3 linked regions of the Arabidopsis thaliana genome follow. The protein of the gene in region 1 interacts with the protein of each later gene in a biochemical or structural test. Each region holds a gene or a part of one and is shown in the gene's direction. Other genes may lie near its edges. The genes, in order: DET1, CUL4 and LHY.

The links.
Region 2: the proteins of DET1 (region 1) and CUL4 form a complex in vitro, tested with the Arabidopsis thaliana proteins (one study listed by BioGRID).
Region 3: the proteins of DET1 (region 1) and LHY form a complex in vitro, tested with the Arabidopsis thaliana proteins (one study listed by BioGRID).

The regions. Positions count from the first base shown.
Region 1 is NC_003075.7:6,344,343-6,348,096, forward strand, and holds the start of DET1 (light-mediated development protein 1 / deetiolated1 (DET1)), read left to right. Parts: upstream 1-2,068; 5' UTR 2,069-2,200; coding exon 2,201-2,272; intron 2,273-2,353; coding exon 2,354-3,016; intron 3,017-3,090; coding exon 3,091-3,282; intron 3,283-3,580; coding exon 3,581-3,649; intron 3,650-3,744; coding exon 3,745-3,754. Other genes in the region: AT4G10170 (SNARE-like superfamily protein), read left to right, coding at 245-1,009. UniProt on the Arabidopsis thaliana protein: Component of light signal transduction machinery. Involved in repression of photomorphogenesis in darkness by participating in the CDD complex, a complex probably required to regulate the activity of ubiquitin conjugating enzymes (E2s).
Region 2 is NC_003076.8:18,734,648-18,738,401, reverse strand, and holds the start of CUL4 (cullin4), read left to right. Parts: upstream 1-1,586; 5' UTR 1,587-1,748; coding exon 1,749-1,995; intron 1,996-2,475; coding exon 2,476-2,591; intron 2,592-2,676; coding exon 2,677-3,023; intron 3,024-3,300; coding exon 3,301-3,481; intron 3,482-3,571; coding exon 3,572-3,694; intron 3,695-3,754. UniProt on the Arabidopsis thaliana protein: Component of the CUL4-RBX1-CDD (COP10-DDB1a-DET1) E3 ubiquitin-protein ligase complex which mediates the ubiquitination and subsequent proteasomal degradation of target proteins. Participates in the CDD complex to light-mediated control of development.
Region 3 is NC_003070.9:36,121-39,874, reverse strand, and holds the start of LHY (Homeodomain-like superfamily protein), read left to right. Parts: upstream 1-2,117; 5' UTR 2,118-2,306; exon of another isoform or gene 2,307-2,476; 5' UTR 2,477-2,502; exon of another isoform or gene 2,503-2,671; 5' UTR 2,672-2,813; coding exon 2,814-2,852; intron 2,853-2,953; coding exon 2,954-3,065; intron 3,066-3,189; coding exon 3,190-3,251; intron 3,252-3,703; coding exon of another isoform or gene 3,704-3,754. Other genes in the region: UMAMIT28 (nodulin MtN21 /EamA-like transporter family protein), read left to right, coding at 61-466, 588-739, 821-977. UniProt on the Arabidopsis thaliana protein: Transcription factor involved in the circadian clock. Binds to the promoter region of APRR1/TOC1 and TCP21/CHE to repress their transcription. Represses both CCA1 and itself.

The DNA.
Region 1 (3,754 bases):
AACATCTCAAACAAAAAGCTCACACATGACCCAAGAACCCTAGAGAGAAGAAGAAGAGGAATGAGAGAATTCATCCTCGATTTTGAAGACATCGCCGAAGGATTTTGTTGGTACTTTCTTCTTCTCTTTGACTTTCTCTCTGACTCCATCATCTCAATTTCTCTCTTCTTCTTTGCTCTAATCACAGACTTCTCTTCTTTCCTCTTCTGTCTCAATTTGATTTCTTAAAAAAACAAAAAAAAAGATGGGTTTAATCAAGAACACAGTTCATTACTGTTGTGTCTCAAGAGACAATCAGATTCTTTACTCTTACAACGGTGGAGACCAAACCAACGAGAGTCTTGCTGCTCTGTGTTTAGAAAAGTCTCCTCCTTTTCATACTTGGTACTTTGAAACTATTGGTAAAAGAAGATTTGGGTTTTTAATTGGAGATGGGTTTGTTTATTTCGCCATTGTTGATGAGGTTTTGAAGAGATCTAGTGTTCTTAAGTTTCTTGAACATTTGAGAGATGAATTTAAGAAAGCTGCTAGGGAGAATTCTAGAGGAAGTTTTACTGCTATGATTGGTTCTATTAATGTTGAAGATCAGCTTGTTCCTGTTGTTACTAGACTTATAGCTTCTCTTGAACGTGTTGCTGAGAGTAGTAGTAACAATGAATTGAAGAGTAGTAATCTTGGTGAACAAAGCGAAGGTTCGAATTCTACTAAAGCTCCGTTGTTGGGGAGGTTAAGTAAGCAAGAGAAGAAGAAAGGGAAAGATCATGTGATTGAGCTTGAGGAACACAGGAAGTCTAATGATAGAGGGAACATAACCGATGATTCAGCGGGAGCTGGAACGTCGTTGGAGAAGGAGTGTGTGTCGAGTAGTGGACGTTCTGTTACTCAAAGCTTTGAATGGAAATGGCGGCGGTTAGTTCAGATTGTTCTTGCTATTGATGCAGCTATTTGCTTGACACTGTTTGGTATTTGGTTGGCTATATGTCGGGGTATCGAGTGTACACGTTCGTGATTGTGCAGACAGAAAATCGGATAAACAGAGTCGATTCTTTACATTCCCTTGTGCATTCCAATAGGCAAAAAATATGTTGATTGTAATGTGAAGCATTCTTAAGTTATAATTTGGCTTATGTATTGCTTTAGTCACAGCTTTGAAATATGTACAGTCGGATTCTAGATTCTGTTCAGTGTTCTTTGTGACTTCACGATACAGTAACGTCCATCTTTATATGATTTAAATTGTTTGAGCTTCAACTTCAAACTCAATCCTCTTTCAAGTTCCCTAAGTAAGGCCCTCACTAGCAAAGAAGCTGGCTTTGAGATGCATAAGGCTTTACCAACAAGTGTATTGATTGTATGATTCGTTCCAACAAGTGTATTGCCACTGCAGTTCTTGTTGTTACCGATCAACAAAATGGGAAGTAAAAAATGGTAGGTAGATAGGAACCGATCCGAAAAAAGTTCCGAAACCGAACTGAACAGTCACAAAATCCGAACGGATAATGAATTCACCTACCCAAATTACTTCAGCCGAATCCGATTCCGAATCAAAAACCGAATAAATATCCGCTAATCCGAAATAAAATTATATCTATCTAAAAATATTAGTTACAGGTTTATACCCAAAAATTTCTAAATAACAAAAATATTAGTTACAGGTTTATACGTCCGAATTTTTAAGTTATATTTGTTACAATTATACAATTTTTTTTGCAAAATTAAACCAATTTTATTAAAACGGAACAATATATATTTTTTTTTCTCAAAAACCGATCCGAATCCGACACTATCCGAACCGAAACCAAACCGAATAGTCATAAAACCCGACCGGATAATAAACTTTCCCATCTGAATCCGAAAATCCGAACCGAATCCGATCCAAAATCCGATCCAAAATGTGAATGTCCATACTTAAGCTCCGACTAAGCAAAGCAATACAACAAGAGAAATTGTACAAAGAGGAAGTAGTACCGATAAGTGCCAATGACCCAATTTTGCAACTATTGGGCCATTTTCAAACACCAATATCAGGCCCATTAACAGATTGAGAGAAACCAACCTCCCAAAAGAGAAAAATCAACAGAACCAAAACAAAGCCACAGTATCTCTCTCTCTCTCTCTCTCACTCACATCGTCTCCTCCATTTTCACCACTAAAACCAGACCAAAAACCTTCCTTTATTCGTGCCCTTCTGGGCCAACAAATGTTCACAAGCGGTAACGTCACCGCTCGGGTCTTCGAACGTCAGATTCGAACTCCTCCTCCCGGCGCTTCCGTCAGTCCCCAAATCTCTCTCTCTGTCTCAATCTCTCAATCTCAATCTCTCTTTTGCTTATCTCTTTACCTTCAATGATAGGTAAATCGTGCAAGACACTTCTACGAAAACCTAGTCCCAAGCTACACACTCTACGATGTCGAATCTCCCGATCACTGTTTCCGCAAATTCACAGAAGACGGACTCTTCCTCATTAGTTTCAGCCGTAACCATCAAGAACTCATAGTCTATCGTCCTTCTTGGCTCACTTACTCCACAACCGATGATTCCACAACCACCCTACCTCCTCTACCTCGCCGTGCTTCGAAATTCGACAGCTTTTTCACTCAACTCTACTCAGTCAATCTCGCTTCTTCTAACGAACTCATCTGCAAAGACTTCTTCCTCTATCACCAAACTCGTCGTTTCGGTCTTTTCGCTACTTCAACAGCTCAGATCCATGATTCATCATCTCCTTCTAATGACGCTGTTCCTGGTGTTCCTTCCATTGATAAGATTACTTTCGTACTTCTTCGATTAGATGATGGTGTTGTTCTTGATGAGAGGGTTTTTCTTCATGATTTCGTTAATCTGGCTCATAATATGGGTGTGTTTCTTTATGATGATCTTTTAGCGATTTTGTCGTTGCGTTATCAGAGGATTCATCTTCTTCAGATTAGAGATTCTGGTCATCTTGTTGATGCTCGTGCTATTGGTTACTTTTGTCGTGAAGATGATGAGCTTTTCCTCAATTCTAGCTCTCAGGTAAGCAAAGTTTTTACAGTATCTTTCTCTGGAGTAGATAAAGTTTTGAGCTTTGTGAGGTTTTTGATTGTTAGGCAATGATGAGTCAAGATAAGAGTAAACAGCAGAGTTTATCTGGGAGTAAGGAAGATGATACTGGAGAGAATGGGTTGCGTCATAGTCTAAGTCAGCCAAGTGGTTCGAATTCGTTTCTTAGTGGTGTTAAGCAACGGTTACTTTCTTTTATCTTCAGGGAGATTTGGAATGAAGAATCAGATAACGTAATGGTTCGTTGTTCTTCAACTTCTCTTATCACTTTATGAAATTGCTCTGAGTTTCACAATCTTGTACATTAAATGGGTTATGTTTGTGTACTGCTTGGCTTCCTCTGTTAGATGTTGAGTAGGATAACAGAAGTTTAAGGTTTAGGATTGATGCAGTTGACAGTGACTTCTTAGTTGATGCAGCTTATCATATACATGCTCTTTGCATTTTCGACCTTTCGTTGTAGTTTGCAATGTGTGTCGTATTGAAACACTACATCTTGGATACGAACTAATCGAAAGGCACTATTTGATTTGACAGAGAGTTCAAAGTCTTAAGAAGAAGTTTTATTTCCATTTCCAGGATTATGTCGACTTGATTATATGGAAGGTAATCAATTATGTGTTTCTGCTTTTGGAATCTGTGTCAAGTGTTTGGATTTGATGGTGAAAAAAACTAATCTTTTGTGTATTCTTGATGTCCAGGTTCAGTTTT
Region 2 (3,754 bases), on another chromosome or scaffold:
TATGTCAAGCTTACAATTTTTCAATAACTCCTCATTTTCACATGTTTGCATGTGAAAATATTGATCCAACGATCCAAGAGACTTACAATTTGCTATTATTAGTATCAATTGGGATTAATTGAGAAATTCTATAGTCTTGAAACATGAATAAAGAAAAAATAAATGTGTTGACATGTTAATGAGGGATTAAAGAAATAAAAAAAAATTATTAGTAAGTTTAAGCGAGGTGAGAATGTAATGAACACCATTTTGTATTAGTAATTATACAATTCCATAGGCTAATCAACATGTAATAAAAAGTTTTAAGACCATGCAGTCGTTGAGGCTGTGGCTGTAATAATATTCATCCTTGCAATTGCGACTTAAAAACCAGCCATGTTTTTTGGCCCAAGAACCCTCACTAATCAAAACACATTCGCACAACAGCACAAGTTATATGAGTTCGCCAATTGGTACGTCTCGGTAACACTTGTAAGACCATCTCCATCGGAATATCTGATTGAGATACTCATCAATTAAATAATAATTAAAAAGAGAAAAAGTATGAGAGAAGAAGAGAAAAGTGGAGAAACTGGCAAGAGAGACTATTCTCAGCATTTATTGAGAGTTGTCATTCAATTAATAGTTCATTTACTTCAAACTAATTAAAATATATTAATTTGATTAAAATATTAATTTATTTACTTTTTGAGATACTCTCTACCACTTTTGCCGATGGAGATGCTCTAACAATCTCATCTCGTCTCTTATCTGCTTGATAGGCTTCGGTTAAACCTTTGTAATCAGGCCCAAAGTATTAACTCCTGTAAATAATTTGATAAGCCCATATTTTGTAATCAGAACCAAACCCTAAACCGGAAGTCCAAAAACCCTGTGGAGCAGCAAGTCAACACGCCCCACATTGGCTAATCCATGACATCGATCATATTATATTTATTCATATTGTCAAGTGATGATTCTTCGTTCATGTCTTTTAACATCACACAATTTTCTGCCTGAAATTACCGACTGCTAAAAGTATTTAATCATCTCTATTTTTATCTCCATTCTCCACGTTATAGGTGAGTCTATTTTATAGGCATTTTATTCTAATATATTCTTTTAAAATAGTTTTTTTTAAAAAATAAAAGAAATATATGGAAAAAAAATCAACTCAATTTTCTTTAAAATAAAAATAAAAATATATATCAAAAATGATCTAAATATCAAGCATCGACTCGTGTGATCGATTCTTTATTCTTTAAATCGTAAAATGACTTAATAAAAATTCGACTCTAAAAATATACAATAGATATGATTTATCAGTTGTCAAAAACTAAAAATAAAAAGTAGTTAAAATTTAAAAGTAGTTATAAAAAATAACCATACAAAACAGGCAACAATTGATTATTATTTTTTATTTTTTTGTTTTTCACTTTTGTGATTAGTAACCATTAAAACAACGCACATCTAATCATTGCGGTATATGTCTATTTTTATCAATAATATTTTTTTTATCATATAGTAATTATGATTTATGAATGTATAAATAAAATAATTCTGATTTTATTCAGAGTATATAAATAAACAAAAAATCTTCATTTCTCGGGTCGGGTCTAAATCGCGAGTTTTCGCGTAGGTTTGAGCAAAAAAAAAAAGAGAGAGAGTGCACAGTGCGCTTTTGGTAGAGAGAAAGGGTTGTTATTATTTAGGATTGATGTCTTCTTCTTCCTCTTCGTGATTCTCTCACACAATTTTCACCCATTTTCATGTCTCTTCCTACCAAACGCTCTACTTTCTCCGCCGCTTCTGCCTCCGACGACTCTTCTTACTCTTCTCCTCCGATGAAAAAGGCCAAAAACGACCTCCACCATTCCCCTCAACACCCTAATACCGCCGACAAGGTTGTTGGCTTTCATATGGAGGAAGATCCAACTCCCGCCGCCGCTAATCTCTCTCGGAAGAAAGCTACACTTCCGCAACCTACTAAGAAGTTTGTAATCAAGCTCAATAAAGGTTTCGCTCGATTTCGATTTCTTTCATCTTTACGATTTTGATCGTAATCTTAGGATTTGATTTGGGTCTTTTACTCTACTGTGCAATTGATGCTCTGGATTGATTTGAAATGATACAATTGTTAAGGTTCGTGATTTTTAGGGTTTTCATTGGCTTGCGATTGATGGAAGTTTTGTGTGAGTTTTGATGTTAAATTACAGTGGAAAATTGAGTGTGACTGTTGAATTTTGATGTGAATGAGTGATTTGGGTTTTTGTATTTCTTCTAAGTTGGAATCTCTTTGTCTAGCCTGATCTAGGTACTTAAGATCCGGAATCTTTGTTGTGCACAATCTAGTTGGCTTAGCTCTCACCAAACCTAATTTGTGCCATTAGAAAACATCTTGAGAATCATCTTTACTGTGACTGGCTAGCAAATTGAAGATAAAAGTGTTTTCATAATTAGGGTTCTGATTGTACCATTTGTATTATATATGTGAAGCCAAACCAACTCTACCAACAAACTTTGAGGAGAATACATGGGAGAAGTTGCAGTCAGCTATCAGAGCTATATTCCTCAAAAAAAAAATTTCGTTTGACCTCGAGAGCCTTTACCAGGTTAGGTTACGTGCAAATTTACTTACTTCCTTTCTTATTCGTATGTGTAAATGTCGTGCTGATGAGATTGTGATTGTTTTTTCAGGCTGTTGATAACCTTTGCTTGCATAAGTTGGATGGAAAGCTTTATGACCAGATTGAGAAGGAGTGTGAAGAACACATCTCTGCAGCTTTGCAATCTTTAGTTGGGCAGAACACTGATCTGACTGTTTTCTTGTCACGTGTTGAGAAATGCTGGCAAGACTTTTGTGACCAGATGCTCATGATTCGTAGTATAGCCTTGACTCTGGATAGGAAGTATGTGATACAGAATCCAAATGTACGTTCATTATGGGAGATGGGTTTGCAGCTTTTCCGGAAGCATCTTTCTCTGGCCCCTGAAGTTGAGCAGAGGACGGTTAAAGGTCTCTTAAGTATGATTGAAAAAGAAAGGTAAATTTTTAACCTTCTGGTCTTCCAAAATTAAACGAGGGTTGATTTATCACATTGAGAATATAATTTCATAAAGCCACTTTACCTCAACTTATTTTTCTGGCTTTTGAGTGAATATGGTAAGTTTGGATGGTCTATGAACTATTCCTGTCTAGCAGTGATAACTTGTTATAGGTAAAATTTCAAGGCAAATCAGGACTAGTGTATGTCATTTATATATTGGATAATGTTTTCATCTGAATCTGCTGAACTTTCTTGCATGATATTGGTCCTGCAGGTTAGCAGAAGCTGTTAATAGGACTCTACTAAGCCATCTTTTGAAGATGTTTACTGCACTGGGAATTTATATGGAAAGCTTTGAGAAACCTTTCCTTGAAGGGACCTCTGAATTTTATGCCGCTGAAGGAATGAAATACATGCAGCAGTCTGACGTTCCGGAGTACCTGAAGCATGTTGAGGTGCCTTGCATGACTTCATATAGTTTCCTTATGATTAGCTGCACTACAGGTTAATAGTCTTTCTAAGGTTTCTACTGGTGATTGGTGCAGGGAAGGTTGCATGAAGAGAATGAGAGATGCATACTCTACATAGATGCAGTAACCAGGAAACCATTGATCACAACTGTTGAAAGGCAACTTCTCGAACGTCATATACTTGTTGTTCTTGAAAAGGTTCCAATCTCCTATTATTCTTGTGTTGGCTTGCATATTATCCAATTTTAGTTTGTCGTA
Region 3 (3,754 bases), on another chromosome or scaffold:
TATGATTCATATTCTCAATAACTTGTTTCAAAATAATCATTAAAATTTTACTTTTTTTAGGACTGAAAATGTGAAGATTCTAAAGACCAAAGCAGGAATGTTGAAGGTGATTGGAACTTTGATCTGTATAAGTGGAGCTTTGTTCTTAACATTTTACAAAGGCCCACAAATATCAAACTCTCACTCTCACTCTCACGGTGGGGCTTCCCACAACAACAACGATCAAGACAAGGCCAATAATTGGCTTCTTGGATGTCTTTATTTAACCATAGGAACAGTGTTGCTATCTCTATGGATGTTGTTTCAAGGGACTTTAAGTATTAAGTACCCTTGCAAATACTCGAGCACTTGTCTTATGTCAATTTTCGCGGCATTTCAATGTGCTCTCTTGAGCCTTTACAAGAGCAGAGACGTTAATGATTGGATCATAGATGATAGATTCGTTATCACCGTCATCATATACGCTGTAAGTTACAAACATCATATCTTTATAAATTAACTTTTTAAAAATTATAAGATTAGTATGTAAGAACTTAAGATATTAATGTGGGTTTTTTTATGTGGTTTTTTTTTATCATATATTATAGGGAGTGGTAGGACAAGCAATGACGACGGTTGCAACAACATGGGGGATTAAAAAATTAGGAGCTGTGTTCGCATCGGCGTTTTTCCCACTTACTCTCATTTCGGCTACTCTATTTGATTTCCTCATTTTACACACTCCTTTATACCTTGGAAGGTATCTTCTTCGATAATCTCTATCAAATTAATTTTGTCTAGGCATAACACTAATTACAACATTAAAACTTTTGGTCTACAGTGTGATTGGATCACTAGTGACCATAACGGGTCTCTACATGTTCTTGTGGGGGAAGAACAAAGAAACGGAATCATCAACTGCATTGTCTTCAGGAATGGATAACGAAGCTCAATATACTACTCCTAATAAGGATAACGACTCTAAGTCGCCCGTTTAATTTAATTATATTGTTGTTAATGTATGTTTCAAATAACTGTTATGTCCTAGTTAATGTTTAAGGAGAGGTAATGAGAGATAAAATTTTATAATTCCAAACATCAACGTAGAGATTTGTGAAATATTTAAATCCGGTTTGTTTGGTTATTTTGGAATAATTTCGGTTATTTCAATTAGATTCGGGTAGTTCAGTTCTTCGGTTAGTAACAAAAACTGGTCTATTGTTTTTTGGTTAACCTAGAACCGAACCGAACTAACCAAAGTTCTCGGTAACCTTTTGTAGTGGCTTCCTGACCGATGAGGCCGTCAACTTCAAAAAATATTGCAACTAAGCTCTGCTCCAACATTAGAGTATCTATAACTATGTTAAACGCTTCTGCTTTAAGCAAAACACAGTTGTAAGCTGGAATCTAAAAAAATGAGTGTAATGATGTTTGCTGAATTCCATAAATAAATACTACATGCTTCGGTTAAGACTTAAGAGTAATTAATGTTCCTTAATTTCTACAAATGTTATATAAGCAAGTTGACCAAAGTTCTCGATGATAATTTGTTGAAATTTTGTATAGGCATTGCATGATATTATATGAAAAGATGAAGATTTTTATACAGACGCAAGTTCCCCGAGCAGTCCAAGCTTGTCGGGTTTAATTCAACTATGTTAATACGCAAATTTATATAGAATAGGCGTAAAAGTGAGGCCCATACAATGTCTTATTACAAGCCCAGATCCAGCATAGCCAATACGTAGCAGTACACCATCACAGCTGGCACCGTACCCACTTGTTTAGTCGTCCAAGTTTGTACCAATAATCGTTTACACGTAAGCAATTGTGGACCACCACACTCACTTTTACCTACGTGAGCTTCACATTGAAGCTTCTGGCTCGTAGAGAAGCAACTTGAGATATACCAAAAAGTGCAGTAGACAGCCACTACAATATCACCACGTGTCGATCTGCGATGACTTCTGTTTTTTCCATTTATACCCTTGGTGCTGTTCCAGCCTCAAATAAACTTTTCAATTAAAATTTTTCCAAAAATTAGGGGAAAAATTGTTGTGGCTGAGATTGCTTCTGGCTTCTCTTCTTCTTCTTCCAGTCTTCTTCAGCCTAAAACAGTCTTCCTTCTTCTTCTTCTTCTTCTTCTTCTTCTTCTTCTTCAGTTATCTTCTTCCTTCTTCTCTCTGTTTTTTAAATTTATTTTTAGAGATTTTTTTTTGTTTTGCTTCCGATTTGATTATTTCCGGGAACGATGACTTCTCCGGGGAGTTCCCGGTGAGATGATAAGTCAGATTGCATACTTGTCTCCTCCATGGCTACTCTCAAGGGTATAACAGTTTACATTATGAGCAGTTTCTAGGATTCCTATAACATACTAAGATCTCTGTTTGGCTGCTGAGAAACTTATAGAAGCGATTAACTAAATCTTATTAGCTCTAAAAGTTAGCATAAATGATACGAATCTGGTGATTGATTACTGATATGAAGATTTGTGAAGGTTTTGGCTGCGGTGGATTCGTTTGGGTGAGGCTTTTGTGAATAATAATAAAGGGAATTCTTTTGAGTTCTGCTGGAGAAGCAGCGACTGTTTCACGGTGGACTTTGAAAAGATTTCTCTTTTGAATTTCGCTCATCACTCTTATCTTAGTGTTTGTGGATAAATATTTCTCATAAAGTACTTTCTCCTTTGCAGTTTCTCTAGAATCTAAAGAGGTTATCACAACGGCTTTGCAATTTGAAAACTTTCATGTTTGGGGAGATCAAAGATGGTTTCTTTTTTATACTTTACTTGTTAGAGAGGATTTGAAGCAGCGAATAGCTGCACCGGTCCTGTTATGGATACTAATACATCTGGAGAAGAATTATTAGCTAAGGTACTACTACTAATGAAATAAGATTGGTGTTTTTTTGTTTGAGAGATTTGGACTGTTGTTGTGTGAAGATTTGATTTTCTTTTGGGTTTTCAAATGTTTAGGCAAGAAAGCCATATACAATAACAAAGCAGCGAGAGCGATGGACTGAGGATGAGCATGAGAGGTTTCTAGAAGCCTTGAGGCTTTATGGAAGAGCTTGGCAACGAATTGAAGGTCGAAAGTTTATCTTTTGAATGTTTAGTTTGAACTCTTTGAGATTTTATATTCCTTTGTTTAGGAGTGTCTTTATCTCCTCTTGATTGGGAGATTCCTTCTTTTCTTTTCATTTTGTGTGCAGAACATATTGGGACAAAGACTGCTGTTCAGATCAGAAGTCATGCACAAAAGTTCTTCACAAAGGTAAGTTGATGATCCTTTCAGATCTTTTTAAAACACTTTCGTTATCTTGTGTAAAGGTACCATTTTTTCATATCGATCTATGACTATGTTTAGAAGTTGCCTGTCACTGTCTGGAAAAGATGATAGAAGGTTCTTCTTATTCTTCCTTTTCTCTAATTGCTTCAACTAGAAATTAGGCGTCTAAGTAGAGTGTGTTTTGCTAAGTAGAGTTGGTTGGTTCCGAGGATTGCATCTCGATCGTTTTTTATCTTTTTCATTTACTCTGTTCAACTAAACTTAACATTAGATTGGTCTGTCCAAACTTACTGTTAGAAAAAACTCTACAGAGAGCTTTCTTCTCTGAGACCATAAGATAGGTCCAAATTAACATAACTAGCGTTGCATTTGGATGACACAATTGTCCCATATTCACTAAAGTCGATGAAATAATGGGATTGCATGAATTCTTTTAGCCATCCATATGGAAACCAAACCTCCTTGCCCTATAGGACAGGACATGAAGT